Lepisosteus oculatus: one gene and its partner. The protein of the gene in region 1 interacts with the protein of each later gene in a pairwise test. Links are inferred from orthologs where the notes say so. Each region holds a gene or a part of one and is shown on either strand. Other genes may lie near its edges.

The links.
Region 2: the proteins of banp (region 1) and zmiz2 interact in binary tests that used the Homo sapiens proteins (3 or more experiments, as listed by UniProt). The two-hybrid records come from large-scale screens. The link is inferred for Lepisosteus oculatus from reciprocal best matches to the Homo sapiens genes BANP and ZMIZ2.

Annotation. Positions count from the first base shown.
Region 1 is NC_090715.1:13,363,208-13,371,529, reverse strand, and holds the start of banp (protein BANP), read right to left. Parts: upstream 3,310-8,322; 5' UTR 3,173-3,309; intron 1-3,172. Other genes in the region: pdcd2l (programmed cell death protein 2-like), read right to left, coding at 5,424-5,554, 6,128-6,282, 6,946-7,059, 7,929-8,284. UniProt on the Homo sapiens protein: Controls V(D)J recombination during T-cell development by repressing T-cell receptor (TCR) beta enhancer function. Binds to scaffold/matrix attachment region beta (S/MARbeta), an ATC-rich DNA sequence located upstream of the TCR beta enhancer.
Region 2 is NC_090697.1:69,337,908-69,345,829, reverse strand, and holds the start of zmiz2 (zinc finger MIZ domain-containing protein 2), read right to left. Parts: upstream 3,222-7,922; 5' UTR 2,600-3,221; intron 1-2,599. UniProt on the Homo sapiens protein: Increases ligand-dependent transcriptional activity of AR and other nuclear hormone receptors.

The DNA.
Region 1 (8,322 bases):
AGCCTGTGTGGATCTGAGGGATGTGAGTGAAGAACGTATTTTGCTTGTAATTTCAGACAGCTGCATTAATTTGATTTTCTGGAAAGTTAGAATAATATTAATAATAAACACTAAAGTACATAGTGCAAGATGAGAAGCGTACATCACTTTATGTTTTAAAAATTAAATAATGTATTCATTATTGTGTCTTCAGTTATGAATGCATATATGCCCTAGAACAGATGGATAACAAAATGCTCTATTTATCAGTTATCAGTTATCCACAGTTAAAGACAGGATATTGCCATGCAGGCATCATTACTGATTGAGCTGTTGAAGAGCTACTCAATTTATAAAAACATCTTGACTAGCTAAACTTGTTGAAGGAAGTTTTCTTTAATTAATTTCACCACTACCACTCTTTCAGTTTCTCTTTCCTTAAACCTGCCCACTTGCCTGTCTCCGCAACTTCAGAAATGCTTTTCCAGAACGACAGTTCTTTAATGGTTACTATTTAGTCCTGGCACGTTTTCTATTTCTCCAGTACTGAGTGACACTTTCCACTAGGAAAAGCAATATCATCGTGACTTACATAACATTCTATTTTTAAGCACTGCTTATCCATAACAACATAAGAACAGTTACAATGCAAGCAGAATGAATGTTGCAGCAGAATACTTTGTGAGGAGCTTTATTTGAAATGATAAAATGCAGGTTAGGACCTGTGTCTGAATATTTTGCAGAGTTAAAAACAAAACAGTGCTGTGCATCTTACTTTCCACCCAGCTGATGTTCTTTAAGGCAAAGTTCAACATAACTTTTGTGTAATAAAACAATTCTAGAGGCCTTTTTCACACAAGAACAACACATGGTCCTGTTGCTGCAAGCCTACATGGGCTAATATTCCAAAATTTAGCCAGATCAGTTTCATTTATGACAATGGACAGCTTGCAATCAAGCAAAACAATACTTTGAAATCACTTCTTGCTGTTTTGTCAAAATCGGTTCCATCTCTGTGATCCTAACAGGCCACTAAAGGGCTTGTAGTTACAGGTAATGCGTCACTATGTAGTGTTGTTCATACAACTCTGTAATCTGTGCTCTCCACATACACCAGGAACATCCATCTATCCATCATCAGAAAAGCACATATTTGTGGTAAGAGACTTCACCCTGGATAGGATGTATGTTCATCACAACGTATGCCCAGACACACAGGCACAAATTACAGACACCAACTAACGAAGCCAGTACGTCTTTGGAGGGCATGTGGAGCTGTGGAGCGCCCTTCATGGAAACATGGGGAGACTTTACACAGACTGGCACTGAACTCAGGGCCCGGGAACCACAGGGCACCCATACTAACCACCATGGCGCCCCATCAAAAGTAATATTCCAAACAGAAATAAGACAAAAACCTGATTTCCATCGAAACCTTACAAGCTGAAACATTCTCTCGACACAAGTCAATTTATCTTCTGCTCTTAATCATTTCCTGTGGTTGCACATGGCACAGACTTAAGGAGCGACAGTGCTGAGAATCAAGGAGCAGGACCCAGAAGGTGTGTTGATGGAAAACATCTGCTGTGTGTGTGTGTGTGTGGGTGGACAAGGACCACGTATCACCCTCAATCTGGGACAAAATATGAGAAATTGCCCCGGCACAGGTGGACACTCCTGACACACCACACGTGAAAGTCCACAAAATGAAAATGAATGTATTTTTTGCAAATCAAATGCCATCTTCCTTAAACCAAAAGGCAGTAAGACCACTTCATTCAGATCTACGTTTACCATGTGTATAGCTGCATTTCCACGCTGGAAAGAACAGAAAAAGGGAGCAAAACCTGTCTTCTCCAGCATCTAAACTATGCTCCACCCAGCCTTCTTCAAATGTACAGGATATTCTAAAAATCTGTATCCACTCAATATGTCCGTGTGTGATTGTAAGTACACGCTGAATATTACTGATCTATCAGCGCCATAATGGGGAATAAAATGTTTTTTAATTGCTTTCAAAACAAATCAGGAAATACAATTTTGGAGGGCTTTGAGCAATAACTGAAAAACAAATATACAGAACACACCAGTAGCAGGAGTAAAAAAAATATTTCAAAATTCAGGTGGTTCTGAGATATAATTTACACAGCAGGTTAATCTATTGTAGGAGGCCTGAAATTGAGTGTCACGAACTTGCAGTTCTTCACTTCATATATTACAGAACGTGATATTTGATATTTGCTTTTGACACGATCATTACAAAAAAAAATCTATTTAAGTTATAAAGCCATCTCAACACCACTGGAGATAATTTAATAAAAGCTTGCTTAATGAAAGTCACCCCTGCAAGAAACGTAGTATCTTAAAATAATCATCACTGTAAATGTGCCATCGACTAATAATGATGAAACGACGACTCAACTGGTAGGATATACCAGAAATACAGTAGTTTGCTTTGCTACTAAGCGTACACTGTGGCTTGTCAAAAATGTGTTCACGATTCGTCTTTGCTAAGCGTTTTAAAAACGAAAAAGTGTCTTAGAGCAACCGCAGGTCTGTAGAGACCTGATCAATCAAGACATACCAATCTGACTTTGCAACCAAAAACGTCCATCGTAGCCGACGTGCAAAAGTCGTTTACACACCAAAATCTCACTTGCCTGGCATGACCAAAAGCATGTAAATTCGCTTGCTTTTGCAAAATTATATCACCCTAACAAATAAAAAAAATATCTGAAGGAATACCAACCATATATGGTTGCAAATGGAGTTCAGCAACATTCGTATAAAATACAAAACAAGCGGAAAAATATTTTCAGGAGCAACAGCGGAAATACTCCATTTTATTTGACAGCAATGCCTATCGAGTAAATAATAATAATATGAAGACACAGGTTTCACAAAATAAAATTAACAGCAGGCGATCACTGGGGAAGATCGCCTACACGGAGACTTTTGAAGTAGGCCCCGGCGCTCCAGTGCACTTAGCAATGAACAGAGACATTAAAATGTCTATCGTAAGGTTACTGGTACAAACAGAAACACAATGTTAAAATGCATACATGCATTCTGCATAGAAGGCGGGGAGGGGGGGGGGACAATATTTCTACGGAAAATGACTATCGCTCGGACCCCCGTCTCCAGCCCGACTCCGGCAGCACAATACCAGCAGCGTCAGTTCGGTTTATATTACCGTGTGAATGATGAATTCTCGTGTTGTTTGTTAGGGATTCCGATAATGGCGTCCTTCCTCGCGAGAGGAAAAAAAAAAAAGAGCCCAGGCCGGCTCCTGCGCGCTCCGCTCCCCTCGCGCTGCCTGCTCTGCGGCGGCGCAGTGGCTCGGGCGCTCTGCGGGGAGGGGGCGGGGCCGGCGGGTGTAGGCGAGCCGGTCCGTTTCGGGCGCCTTCCGTTTGCTTCCTGTGTGGCTACAACAACAACAACGACACCTTTCCACGAAAAAAAAAAAAGGGGGCCCTGTTAACTTCTCTGGTTTTCCGAAACTGCTTCGACTTCGGCGCGGAGCCCTGCAGACGAGCCGCGGAGATAACGAGTGACGTTGAGGTGCTTTGTGGGGGACAAGGACTCGTACCGTGATGCGAGCAAACCGTTGGGATTTTATTTCTGTGTCCATCAGAAGTTCGGGGTTTTGTTCAGGTCCAAGGGCTACTGTTTTAGGCGATGTGGAAGATTGTATGTGTACTGGGGTAGAATCAACTACTGAGTACTTAACGGTATTCCAGGTCTCGTCGTAAGTTCGTATTCCTTTAAAAAAAAAAGACATGCAAAAGCTTATATTGAGGTTATAGTACCTGCAAATCCGTTTACCATTCTGCAACATCATACAGTGGGTATAGAAAGGCACCACCTCCTTTCACAATTTGTACCTTTTGTTGCATGACACTGAAAATAAAAACAAATTAAACGAGGCTTGTTCCATTTTTTTATTTACACACGGTAACCCACATTAGCCAAGCGATAATAAAATTCTAAAGCATTCTAAAAAATTAATTAGTATTACAACAGTAAAATACCTTATTTGGGTAAGTGAACACCCCCTTTACAACTGCATTTGTAAACGTGCTCAGGTATAACCAATCACCTTGCAGATCACACAACAAACGAATTGACTCCCACCTATGATCAATTGTGTGCACATGACAACAATATCACAAGCGCTCCACAAAACTGACCTGTATGGAAGGGTGGCGAGAAAAAAGCCACATAAAAGCACCTTAAAGACACTGTGGCCAAGTGGCAAAAGGTGCTGTGGTCAGCTGAGACCAAAATCAAACCTTTTTGCCAGAATACAAAATGGTATGTCTGGCAAAAACCCAATACATCTTACCACCCAGAGAACACCATTCCTACAGTAAAGCACTGTGGTGCCAGCATCTTGTTGTGGGGGTATATCTCTTCTGCTGGAACAGGGGCACTTCTCAGGATAGAAGGGAAGATGGATGGTGCAAAATACAGGCAAATCCTTGAAGAAAACCTGCAGCCGTCGGCCAGGAAGTTGAAAATGGGAAGATGGTTCACCTTTCAACGTAACAATGACCCACAGCACACCACCAAAGCAACCATACAGTGACTGAAGGACAGGAAGGTGAATGTCCTTGAGTGGTCTAGTCAGAGCCCAGACCTCAATCCCATCGAAAATCTTTGACTTGAAGAGGGCAGTCCATCAAGTCACCACGCAGTTTGAGCTTGAAATATTCTGTGAGGAGGAATGGGCAAATATTCCTCCCTCTAGGTGTGCAAAGTTGGTAGAGGTGTATCCAAACAGACCTCAGGCTGTAACCAAGCAAAAGGTGCTTCCAGGTATGAACTGGCAGGGGATGTCCTCTTATCCAATCCAGTTATTCTATTTTTATTTGCAGAATTTTTTTTTTCACTTGGTTGTTGCTTATCATTTACTCGCTTGCAATTTTTGTGCAATTATTCACGACAAATTCTAGTATTTTGAACAAAAGACTGAAATCTTTTTTTAAAAATTATAGCAACACAGGAGGCCTTGTTTTAGGTGAAATCATTTAACATTTTACAATGAATATATGAATTAGTTAATTCCCTCTGCAGTTTCACACTTGCTTAATTTTATTAGTTTTAACATGTGTTCATGATTTCTTAATTTTCTAACTTTGAAAATGTTTAGGTTTCTGAACCCCGGGCTGAACAGGGTTAGCAATGCAGATCAGACATGAAATCTTGTAAGATCCTACATCCAAACCGTTGATGCTGTTTGAACTTTAAATTCTCCTGCTTCAGTTATTAAGCCTCCCATCGTGAGCATCTGTTTTATAATTCTGTTTGCTGAATGTAAGGTTAATGTTTATGTATGCATGTAATTGCTTTGCTTCTTTGCAAAGGTCACTTGACCTTTGTGATAATTTCTAAGCAGGTCAAAACACAACATTTTGGACTTTCATTTCTTTTTATTGACACTTCTATCTGAACAATTTCTGATCGGGGTCTGCCTGTACAAAAGGGAACTCCTCCACTGGTGTCTGGTTTCTGGATGGCCAGCAGCTGTCTCTGCAGGTGTAAATGAGCACAATCCCAAACTCCACCGTCCAGTCTAGAGGAGCAAGAGAAGAGCCAGTGTCTCAGAGACAAAGGTGTTTGCAATGGCTGACCACAGGAGAATAGAAGGATTGGCTATGAAATTCAAACCATACAAGCTGCCTTTAACAATGAACAAGTTCTGTAATTTCTCTACACTACTTTTCACTGAGGTCTGTGCTTTTGCTTGATATTCATCAGGAATAACACCACCCGAGCATTAAGTGTGTTGAAAAAATACAGAGTGCTAGTCACAGTAAATTTGGCCTAACCCGCCTGGCTGAGAGACAGAGAGCCCCCCATGTAGAGAGGAGGTGTGAACTTAGAAGCAGCTGCGAATGTAGAAATGGGGTAAAAGGATGTAAAAAGACTAATGCAAATGAGAGAAGGGACTTAGGTATAATTATTCCAGTTTTTTTAACTTGAGGAAATTACATCAGGATTAAGATTTAGGCTAATTGAAGTTGGCTGCTGTCACCCCTCCTGAATTTTCATTGGAAACTTGCATGTTATGCATCTTTTTCTACCCAAGCAATGAAATCCTGCTTGCCAATTTGGATAAAGATTTCCTTCTTAATCCGACACCCACCGTCTTCATTGGCGCCGCGGAGCATGCTGACCAGCGCGGGCATGAGCTGAAACTCGAAGATTCTGGGGCTCCCGCAGTGAGCGCAGGGGGGGACCGTCTTCTGCATGTGGGAGGGAGGGCAGGTAATGAACACGGGCTGCCCATTCCAACAATACCTGCAAAACAGGACAGCTGTGGTTGATAAAGACAAACGGGCAAGGATCCTTATTACTCTGTCCCCACCCACTACTGCCCTGTGCTTTGTAATTTTACAGGCCTGACATTTCCAGGAAAACTACTTCCCGTATAATTATTATTTGGCAGATGCCTGAGAGAAGTACCTTTGCTCTGGAATCTTGGGAGTCCACAGTCAAACAGCTTTGAAAGTGACTCATGGGTGTAAGTGCTTCCTACCGTAATTCATTTACTGGCAAGCGCTTTTGCTTAAAAAATCTAAATTAATGTAATTCTCTGAAAGTGAAGGTGCCCTATTGAAAACTACAATTTTTTACCCTACGCCTCTATAGTTCTTCTGACAATTAAGTGTTAAGTTGTGCACTAATCCAAAGCTGAAAATACTAAAATATACATACTGTTCACATACATCTTCTTGCCAGTCATTTGTATGTTTTGTGACTGGAAAATAGTGCTGCACTTCGCAGGATTATGGAATTCATGACATCCAGTGAAAATTAAGTGATGTTTGCATTGATTCATGGAATAATGGTGGATGTGCATGATGCAGTGAAGTTAGCCATCAACACTGCCAAAACCTCTCTGATCTGAGGTTGTATTTTCATTTGTCTGTAAAAGTGTGAATGCGGGAAAAGTCTCTTTACCTTAACACCTGCCCTGGACACAGCGAGATCGTCTTCATGAACCTGAAGAACTCCTTGTCCCCATGCCTGGCTTTAGTTTTCTCGTATTTTTCTACCTCCCCTCCAGCATCACAGCTGAAATGACGACATGAAAACACGGTTTCAACTTCGGTACTTAATGGTATTTTTTAAGACTTATATTATCAGCTGCAGTTAACAGTGTGAGAAAGGAATCAATGTGACTTTTTAAATGGATATTTGCAGTGGAATCTTAATCTGTTCAGAAGTTTTTCATTTATGTTTATTTCTGTACTTTTTGGGAAGAGAGATTGTTTATAAATGTCAGGTCAGGTCAAGCGCTTTGACCCTTTTCCCATCTTACAATTAGACAGCAACATTATTACCGTGTAGGCAGATCTCAAAAGCAGAGCAACACTGAGATTGGCCAGCAGGGGGAAAAGATATCTCATGTATTAGGAAAACCAAGTTGATGCTGTAAATGACATATTGACATATCAGAAATGTGAGTTCTTCCCTCTAGACCTTGACTTCCAAGCTAATGTCCCAGTGTGCGAAGTGCACAGACTGTGCTGGAGGAGGTTTCCATCCTTGAGATAAAACATTTAACCGAAATCCTGACTAGTTGATCATCCACAGTTGCACTGTTCATTTGCCTAGTCTGTCCTGCCTAAAGTTCCCCCTTTGTGTCCCTCACAGTTCTCCATCTTATTTGTTGCTGTTGCATAATGGCTGCTATATGTTACCCAGATGGATGCTGTACTTGTGGTAGATGAAATGGGTCCTCTTCTATATGTGCCTTTGGGATGAGAAATACTATACAAATGCAAGCCATCATTATTATAACAACGCCACAGTTAATATGCTCAATGCACAGTCCAACTATTATTTGTATGTTTCTAGCTGTGGTCTAAAACTCCAATATAGGGAAATATTAACAAAATGACTGAAAGCACCTTCACCTTTCTGTATCCGGCAGGTCATACCTTAACAGGTCTTCTAACACCACGCCCTCCCTCTTCTCGTACTCGCTCAGCAGCTCCTGAGCATGCGCCATGTCATCCTCAGCGCAGAGCCCCTCCTCCGCCAGCACATCCATGTAGTAGGGCTGGAAAGCAGGTACAGGACCGGAGAGAACCAGGCCCTCCCCTTCTCTCATCTCCTCCTCCAGGCTCAGGCCCTGCAGCCTGCTGCTGACACTGCGGTCAGAGGCACTGGCCTGGGGCGGCGCTGGGGCAGCACCAGCAGGCAGGCTGGGGGAGAAGCCTGTGGTGCCCTGGTCCTCATCCACCCCCCAGTCATCTGCTCCTTCACACCAGTCTCTGTTTGCCATGGGCACCTCCTAGGTGAAGCATTAGAAACAACACCCCCCCTTAGGGC
Region 2 (7,922 bases), on another chromosome or scaffold:
ATCAATAACCACTATTTAGCAAGCGGCACAGATGGGCCGACTGGCCTCCTCTCGTTCCCAACCTGTCTGAGGTTCTGGGATCCTGACCTCGCAGCCAGGGGCGAGACAGAGACGCATCACAGTTCAAACCAGCTGCTCCCCTTCTCTTCTCCCACTCGCAGCGTCCCAGGCTGAGAGAGTGGGGCAGCTCGGGCAGGAGGGGGGCACAGAGCACACAATTGTCCTAGCACGTCCATCCACCCAGCCCCCCCGAGCTGGAAAGACGTGGCAAGACTGACCAGTCGGACCACTGGCAGCGGGGCGGGGCCGAGCCGAGCTCAGGACACTCCTCATTTAGGAGAACAGGGAAAAAAAGATGGGAGAGCTACCAGATCTGTGTGTGTGTGTGAGAGAGAGGGGTGTTCAATGAGTTGGCAAGGCCATCCACATTCAGCCTAATCAAACTTGCCTCTCGAAAAGCTCGGCAGGCGACGGTTTCGCAGCAGACAGGACAGCCTTGACTGAGCTGGGCAGAGGGCACAAGCGAGTCTCACCCTGACGCACAGGAGAGAAAGGGCACAATCCCGAAACTATCCGCACAGCGCCAGCGCGTGCATTTCAACCCCGCGTCTGAAAGAAACAGTGGCCACACAAAATTCATTTCACCCCAGACATCGCCGAGTCCCTTGATCAGAGAACTGGTACTTCGCCAGGGCGTTTCAGCCCCTCCAAGAGAAATGAGTCCCACAGCAGGATACACACAGCACTGACCTGTCTCGGGAGCTTTTATTACAATAAGCACTAAAGCACATAAGTATGAAAGCATCATGAACTACTACACAGTGTAACAGAACACAGCAGCACTCACTTAGAGTTAACTTTTTTTTTATTCCAAAGTCACCTCACAAAATATTACTCACTCTAACTCCTACAAACAAAAAATACCCTCATGTCACCCCAGGAGTGATCTATTACTAAATCACTTACTGAAAGCAAAATGTCACACCCGAGCATAAGTCTGCACTAGCATATTTCTCTCGACAGGTCTTAAGCACAGAGTTTGGCACAAAATGTCATGTACCGTTATCAATAATTCACAGCACAGTCAGCAACCCCGGGTCGAACGCTACCCACCCACATGGACAGAGTGAGCTCAGGGTCCTCGCACTCGTGAAAACACAAAACGCCATCTGAACTTTAGCATATTATGAGTAATCAACACTGAGAGCCGCAGCCGTCTCTGAACAAAACCGAGATGCAGCCCTGCTCGCAGATGCTAACAGGTAACAGATTAGTCAATGGCATTTGGGCAGTCGTCTCCATTTCTGAGCGAACTCTTTTTAAAACTCTTGCAGTGACAAACGATAGGGTCAGGCGGTCAGTCCGATGACGTTTTTGCACAGGGCTTTTAACAAGTCACCGACACACGCTGCCTGAGTTTTGGTGGACAGCCATGGGCGAGTGATCCGTGCTGTGAGGAGCAGGTGGAGGTGTGGTATCGACCCAGCTGTCCGCCACAAGACGCGATCGGATGAGGGGGTTCAGTGCGCTGGTGGACGCCGTCTCAAAAGTGGGCTACAATACGATAATCGTAGCCCTCCGAGAACAAGAAAGTCTGTGCTGAATTCCGAGGAGACGACAAAAAAAAGTGTACACAAAATTGCCTCCATAGCCAACTACCGACAAGATACATGCTCAACACCTGGAAACTTTCTACTGTAATAACTACTCCATCTACCAGAGAAAGCGTACTCTACAGCCAAGAACTTAGATCTTAACAGTTTCTGACTCGCTCTGCTGAATTCTTTTGACGGGCTTCATCATCAGAAGCCAACATCCTTGGGGGAGAAAAACAAAACTACGAAACTGGCCAATCTTGCTTTTCGTCACGAAACCGCGGCATCATTCACGTCGCATGCTGGGTACAGGTCTCCAGAGCTCGGCAGGTATCCAACCAGCACCATTTAAAATACCCTCGCTACAGCACAAAAACATTTCTCACGGCATCCCCATCTCGAGTGACAAGACGCAGAAAAGTACGAGGAGGGTAAATAGCACAAAAAAAGACCCCCCAAAAAACGTGACTGCCAGACATCGGGCAGGCAGGTCGTACTCAGGCAGGCTAGGTACAGCCAGCTCAGTCGCACAGTAACGTGTGCCCAGAATGAAATAACAATTGGAAGACATTTTGTACGTCCTTGTAATACCAACACACACTGATGTACGGGAACTAGTTCTCTCTTTCTTTCTTTCCTTCTTAGAAATGTGGTATTTCCCAAAGGCACACCAGGTGTCTCGACCGCGGGGCCTTTGTTAAAGCGCCTGTAACACACCGCGAACTACACGAAAACGACCATTAAAAACGACGGCAAAAAAAAAAACTGTTTTCTTATTTCGGATTTCTCACACTCTAACAACAACAAAAAAATCAAAGCCCACGCCGATCCGGTATCGCAGATCGGGTTGTCCGTTCATTCGCCCTCTCCCCGGAGCACGATTATAAATCAATACATCGTGGTAAAAACAAAACAAAACCACACGCACACACTCATATACGCACATCAAACACGGAGCAGCCGCCGATGGCAGCAACAATGTGGACGCAGCGTCAGTCTCTTACCTTGGACGCGAACTGCCTGCGGTCGCCGCGCGCCGGGGTTCAGACTGCAGGAATCTCCGGGCAGCAGCACGCGCTACTCCTTTTAAATATTGCACTGCGCGGAAGGCGAGAGCAGCTTCTCCTCCGTCCTCCACTCCCCACTCGGAACGGTGCGTGTTCTTTTTTTTAACCTTACCTCCCCCCCCCCTCCTCCGCTCCTCTCCTCCTTTTCCCCCTTTTTCGCTCGCAGTCCTCGATTACCTCGGCTAAGTTGTATTTTCCATGTCGTTATTTCTTGTAATCCTTCGTTTTCCCCCCCTGTTCTCGGCTCTCGTTATTTAGCAACGCGACAGAGCTCCGGAGCTCAGCCTGGACGCGGGTGGCTTGCGGGGAGCTTCGCTAGAGATCGTCCCCGGACACTGCATGAGTGGAGAGTGAGAGTTAGCCTACATACAACGCGACTCGTTTCGCTGCTCTGTGCACAGGCAGTATTTGCCTCGACTCCACGGCTTTACCTCCCTCGGTGTTGCACAATGGGTTGCTATAATTTATTCATGAGATCATGAGGGATGTTGGTTCTCTGTCGGAGGAGGTAAAAAAAGACACTTTTTTTTCTTCGCCTTCCTCACTGCCTTCCCGTCGTCCGCAGTCGCAACTAACCGATCGCCTATCCGATCACAGCTAGAGGACGTTCGCTCCCTCCCCTAGTTTCTCTTGGCTCCGAGCAAACCCCACGGTGTTGAATGAAACGCGGGTCATTTTGGCTCCTGAAACAGAGCCTGTTCCCGTTCCTTGATCTAATCCCGAAGCTAGAGCCAACATGGCTGTCTGTTGTGAGTTGAAGGTGGGGGTGTCGAGGACTGCAGAGTTTTGGGGTTTTCGGAAACGGCGTGATTTCTAACTTGCCCGTCGACCCTTTTGAGGTGGAAAAAGGAATAACATTTGAAATGTGTTGTAACCGCGTTATTCTATCACCGCACATTTGTTTTAAGTGCAAAATAATTGAAGTCTTATACAAACATTCGGCATTTAAAACAAAATAATTTCCCACTAATAAATGATGCATTTGTGTGTGTCCGTTATTCAAAGTGAATTAAAAACAACCACAACACATCAGGAAGACATCTTACCATGTTATTTGGACACTGACGTTTCATTAAGAAGTACCATCTTTGGTGTAATTAATCTCAATACTTTTGATTGAAACGTATACATTCTTTTACACAACGATAATTTTTAGTAACAGTGATGATTAAAATGCAGTCTCACAATAACCAATGATGAAGAATGTCATCATAAGGAAATCTGGGTTTAAAAATAAGTGGGAGACGGTGTGCTATGATCACAAAATAACACACTAACAAATGGTGTCCCTGTACAAAACCCATACTGTACATATTGAAATACCTCACATTTTAATGTCAAAAATCGGCTCCAATCATGTGAGCTGTTCTTCTAACAACTGTGATTGATATAGCACAAACCACTAAACAGGCTAATGTTATTTCTTCTGTAATATCTGTGTTGACAATAACAAATGATAAAACACAAAGTAGAGTAGAGGAGTTTATTGCCACATGTACATGTACATTGGAATTCTTCTTCACGTGTTTATCTCAGTACAGCAAACAACACAGTCCAACAGAAAACACCTCACAATGTAGACAGTACATTACAAAATGTTTCAGAATAGAAAGTGATAGTGTGTACAGTCAATAAACAACCAGAACAATACAAACACGGTAGAGAACAATTTATACGTGGTGAACAAAAACACACGGTAGCCCAAGTCAAAAGTGTATAGTGCAGAGGTGCATTGCGTTCTGGGACATTGCACAGTTAGCTGTTTATGATGCGCACTACCATAATTTAGAAGCTGTTCTTAGGACGTTACTAGAGGACACAAGAAGAATCTACATAGAAATGGATATAAAACTGCGAACGGAGGGTATTTCTTTATGCAAAGGCATGTGGCAATGTGGAACAAGCTACCCAGCCATGCTGAAAGAGAAACATACTCTTCCTCCAAGAAATGGCTGGACGAGTTCTTCTGATCAATTAGCTGTTAATTTCCAGGATGGGTCTCCTCTCGTTTCCAACTGCTGTTACGCTCTGATATTGTGTTTTTGTTCACCACGTATAAATTGTTCTCTATAAATTGGCTTAATTACTCTGCTCTCCTCCCCACTGATGGCTGATGTGTGGTGGGCGTTCTGGCGCACTATGGCTGCCGTCGCATCATCCAGGTGGATGCTGCACATTGGTGGTGGTGGAGGGGATCCCCATTGCCTGTAAAGCGCTTTGAGTGGAGTGTCCAGAAAAGCGCTATATAAATGTAAGCAATTATTATTAATTATTATAGCTATAAAGATTCATGAATGTAATGTCCTTCTTTACAAGTTTGTGTCTTGTCTTTGTGCGCACCTTGTCATGGTGCCTTATGCCTCCTGTTTGCCCACTGCTGCCTAAGAAAATAATTGACATCCTTTCTGACATGACCTTCCCTGAAAAGGGCAAGATTAGTCCTGACAAATTAAACCTTTCATTTACTCAACGTGTGATCTCTTTCAAATCTTACCACTAGGCAACCACTAGGTATTGCATTGATTTCAAGAGGAGAAGGCTACATTACTAATCAGTATGGCTCCCTATGTGCCAGATCATCAAATACCCACTTTGCAATTACGAGCTCCATACCTACAAATGGAGAGTAAGTAGGTTCATACTGGAGTGTATAAATACATAAAGTTTCCTCTCAGGTTTAGCCGTAAGTGCCTCTTGAGTTTAAAGTTATTAATGCATTGAAATCCATGCCTTGGATGAAGAAAATAAGTTTCCATGTTTTGTACTGTAGGCGTTGGATGCTTTGGGTGTTTTTATGTGCAGTGCTTTCAGTCAATAAACTCATTGGCTTTGGAACTGTCTTCCTGAAAGGACAATGAAGGCTAAAATGTCCTTTCTGGATATACTTAATGGAAATTGAGTTTATTTTATTTGAAATGTCATTGCCTTTGAGAACGCCCTGGCTCTGCTTTCACAACTGATTTACTGTAAATTGATTTGCTGTTTTCAGTGAACGCTGCTGCCACTGGGCTGTACCTGAGTGTCAGGCACAGAAGGCCTACAGTACTAGCATGGAGCCGAGTTCCTGGTGGTGGTCAACTCTGCTGAACTGGCTCGGTCCACCTTTCACCCAGCACATGTCAGCATGGGGCAGGAGGATGCAGAGAGTGTCCAGCTCACCCCCGGCAGCCTACCTGCCAGCATGTCAGCACTGCAGCTTGAATAGCAGGGGGGACACTGGGGAGGAGTTACCAGGCCATGAACAAACACAAAGAGAAGGTCAAGAAAGGTCACACCCAGTCACACCCTCATCAGGACTCAACAACACCGGGGAAAATTCCATCTGAGAGGGAGAGAAAAATCTCAGGAAAGTAGAGAGACACAGACAAGGAGATAAGGAGCAGGACTGGAGATAATGACTGAGAAAGGAGACAGACAAACAGAAACGAGGGGAAGAAGAAGAAGAAAGGCTTGCACAAGAGTACATGACAAACACATCTTACCTTAACCATCTCCCACATCCTTTCCACTCAAACAGAAAGCTACATTGAAGGCTACACCATGTGAGCCAAGCAAATCCTGCCTCAGGAACAGTGCCAATATTTCATTGACACAGGTTAAACTCTGGCTTCTTTCTCAGTAATTTCATACAGATTTTCTGACTTGACCCACAGCTGTTCCAAGATTTTACATCACCTCAGTGGTAAGGATCAGCTGATCCATTATTAATTACTTGATTAACAAACTTGTTCGCTACACTAGGTTTCCCAGAGTCCCTCAGCTAGTGGCTTACTCCATTTAGACTGACATATGAGCAAATAACACTGTACCACTAATATTAGCAGTACCACACAGATATACCATCCACCAGGACACAAAACACTTTTGCACATGAAAATCACTGACTAAATCAGTAAAAATCTCTTTGCATTGAGAAATATCTTGTCTTCTTAATTACGATTGAAAGATGACTACAGCTTTGTATATGCAGTATTCAGTGCTTCTAGTATCCACAACATTCCTGCCATTTTAATGCTAATACTATTAAATATAGAACTTCATCTTTCCCATGCTTGGGGCATGTTGTTGATCTCTTCCTTGCCGAAGACCCCAGGGAAATATTCATTCATCAGCCATTTCCTTTATCATCTCAGAAACTTTGCCATTATCATAATCTCTGAGACATAATTTTTATCCTGCACCATTCTTTTGCCGACATGATACGTGTCACAACATGACACAATACTTAACAAAATAAAACTTTATTTATTACTCTCCATTGCATTTATTTTTCTTTCCATTTTCTTTTTTTCTCTTTCTTGTGTTCTGGGATATTCTGTTTTAACCAAACCCTATATGGTTGGAAATATTCACTTAACTGTGCTCCATTTCTTTAACTGGATGCTGTACTTTTTGAATCACTCTATAAAGTACCTCCTTTCTCCTCACATTTTTCTTAGTTTATTACACTATATGGACAACTGCTTCTGATGGGAGTTACTCATGGGATTAAAGTAAAAAGAAATAATCAAAGTATTGCCATGCATTCTATGTAAAGTTTCAAAAATGAAATGTAAAAAAATGTGGTCCATTTTATGATAGTTACCACAGTTACCTAATGGTTCTCTCATCTCTGTTTTCCTCACCCTGTCTTGTTATAGATGATTAAAACGACATATTTATTCCTTACCCTAGCGTCCTATGACAAGCTCACTAAGCTGTTGTATACGTGAATTGGATATTTAAAAATGGGAAAAAAAGTTAAACGATTAACTATGCACTTGTGAAGTCCTTAATCTATTTTGGGGATATAAGTGCGCGGGTATGCTTTAGCCTTAATTACTCATTTACCTACGTAAGGGTTTCAGTTGAACTGTTTCTCCCTCTTACAAAACGTGGAAAATTGCACGCGGCGCAAGCCACAAATTTAAATGTTCACATTTAAACATGTAGTTGTTGAGGATCTGTTCTTTGTTACGCTTCCTTAACGTCTGAAATTGTGGTTCCACCTTTACAAAAAAGAACAGTCTCTAAGACATCGAGTCAATAAGGCACTTAACCAAGCGAGGCCGGAATGGCCTGTACCACATCCACACATGAGAGGTGCAAGCGTTCGCAAATTTTATTGAGAAATTGTAAACACCTGCGTGTCCTCGGTAATACATGGGCATTTCTTTTATTCAACCGTACTATACTACATTTAACAGGTTTTTAAACAACAAAGGCCTTCTCCAGTTACAGAATAATAAAAAATAAAAATATACCATCCTGGCGGTGGCGG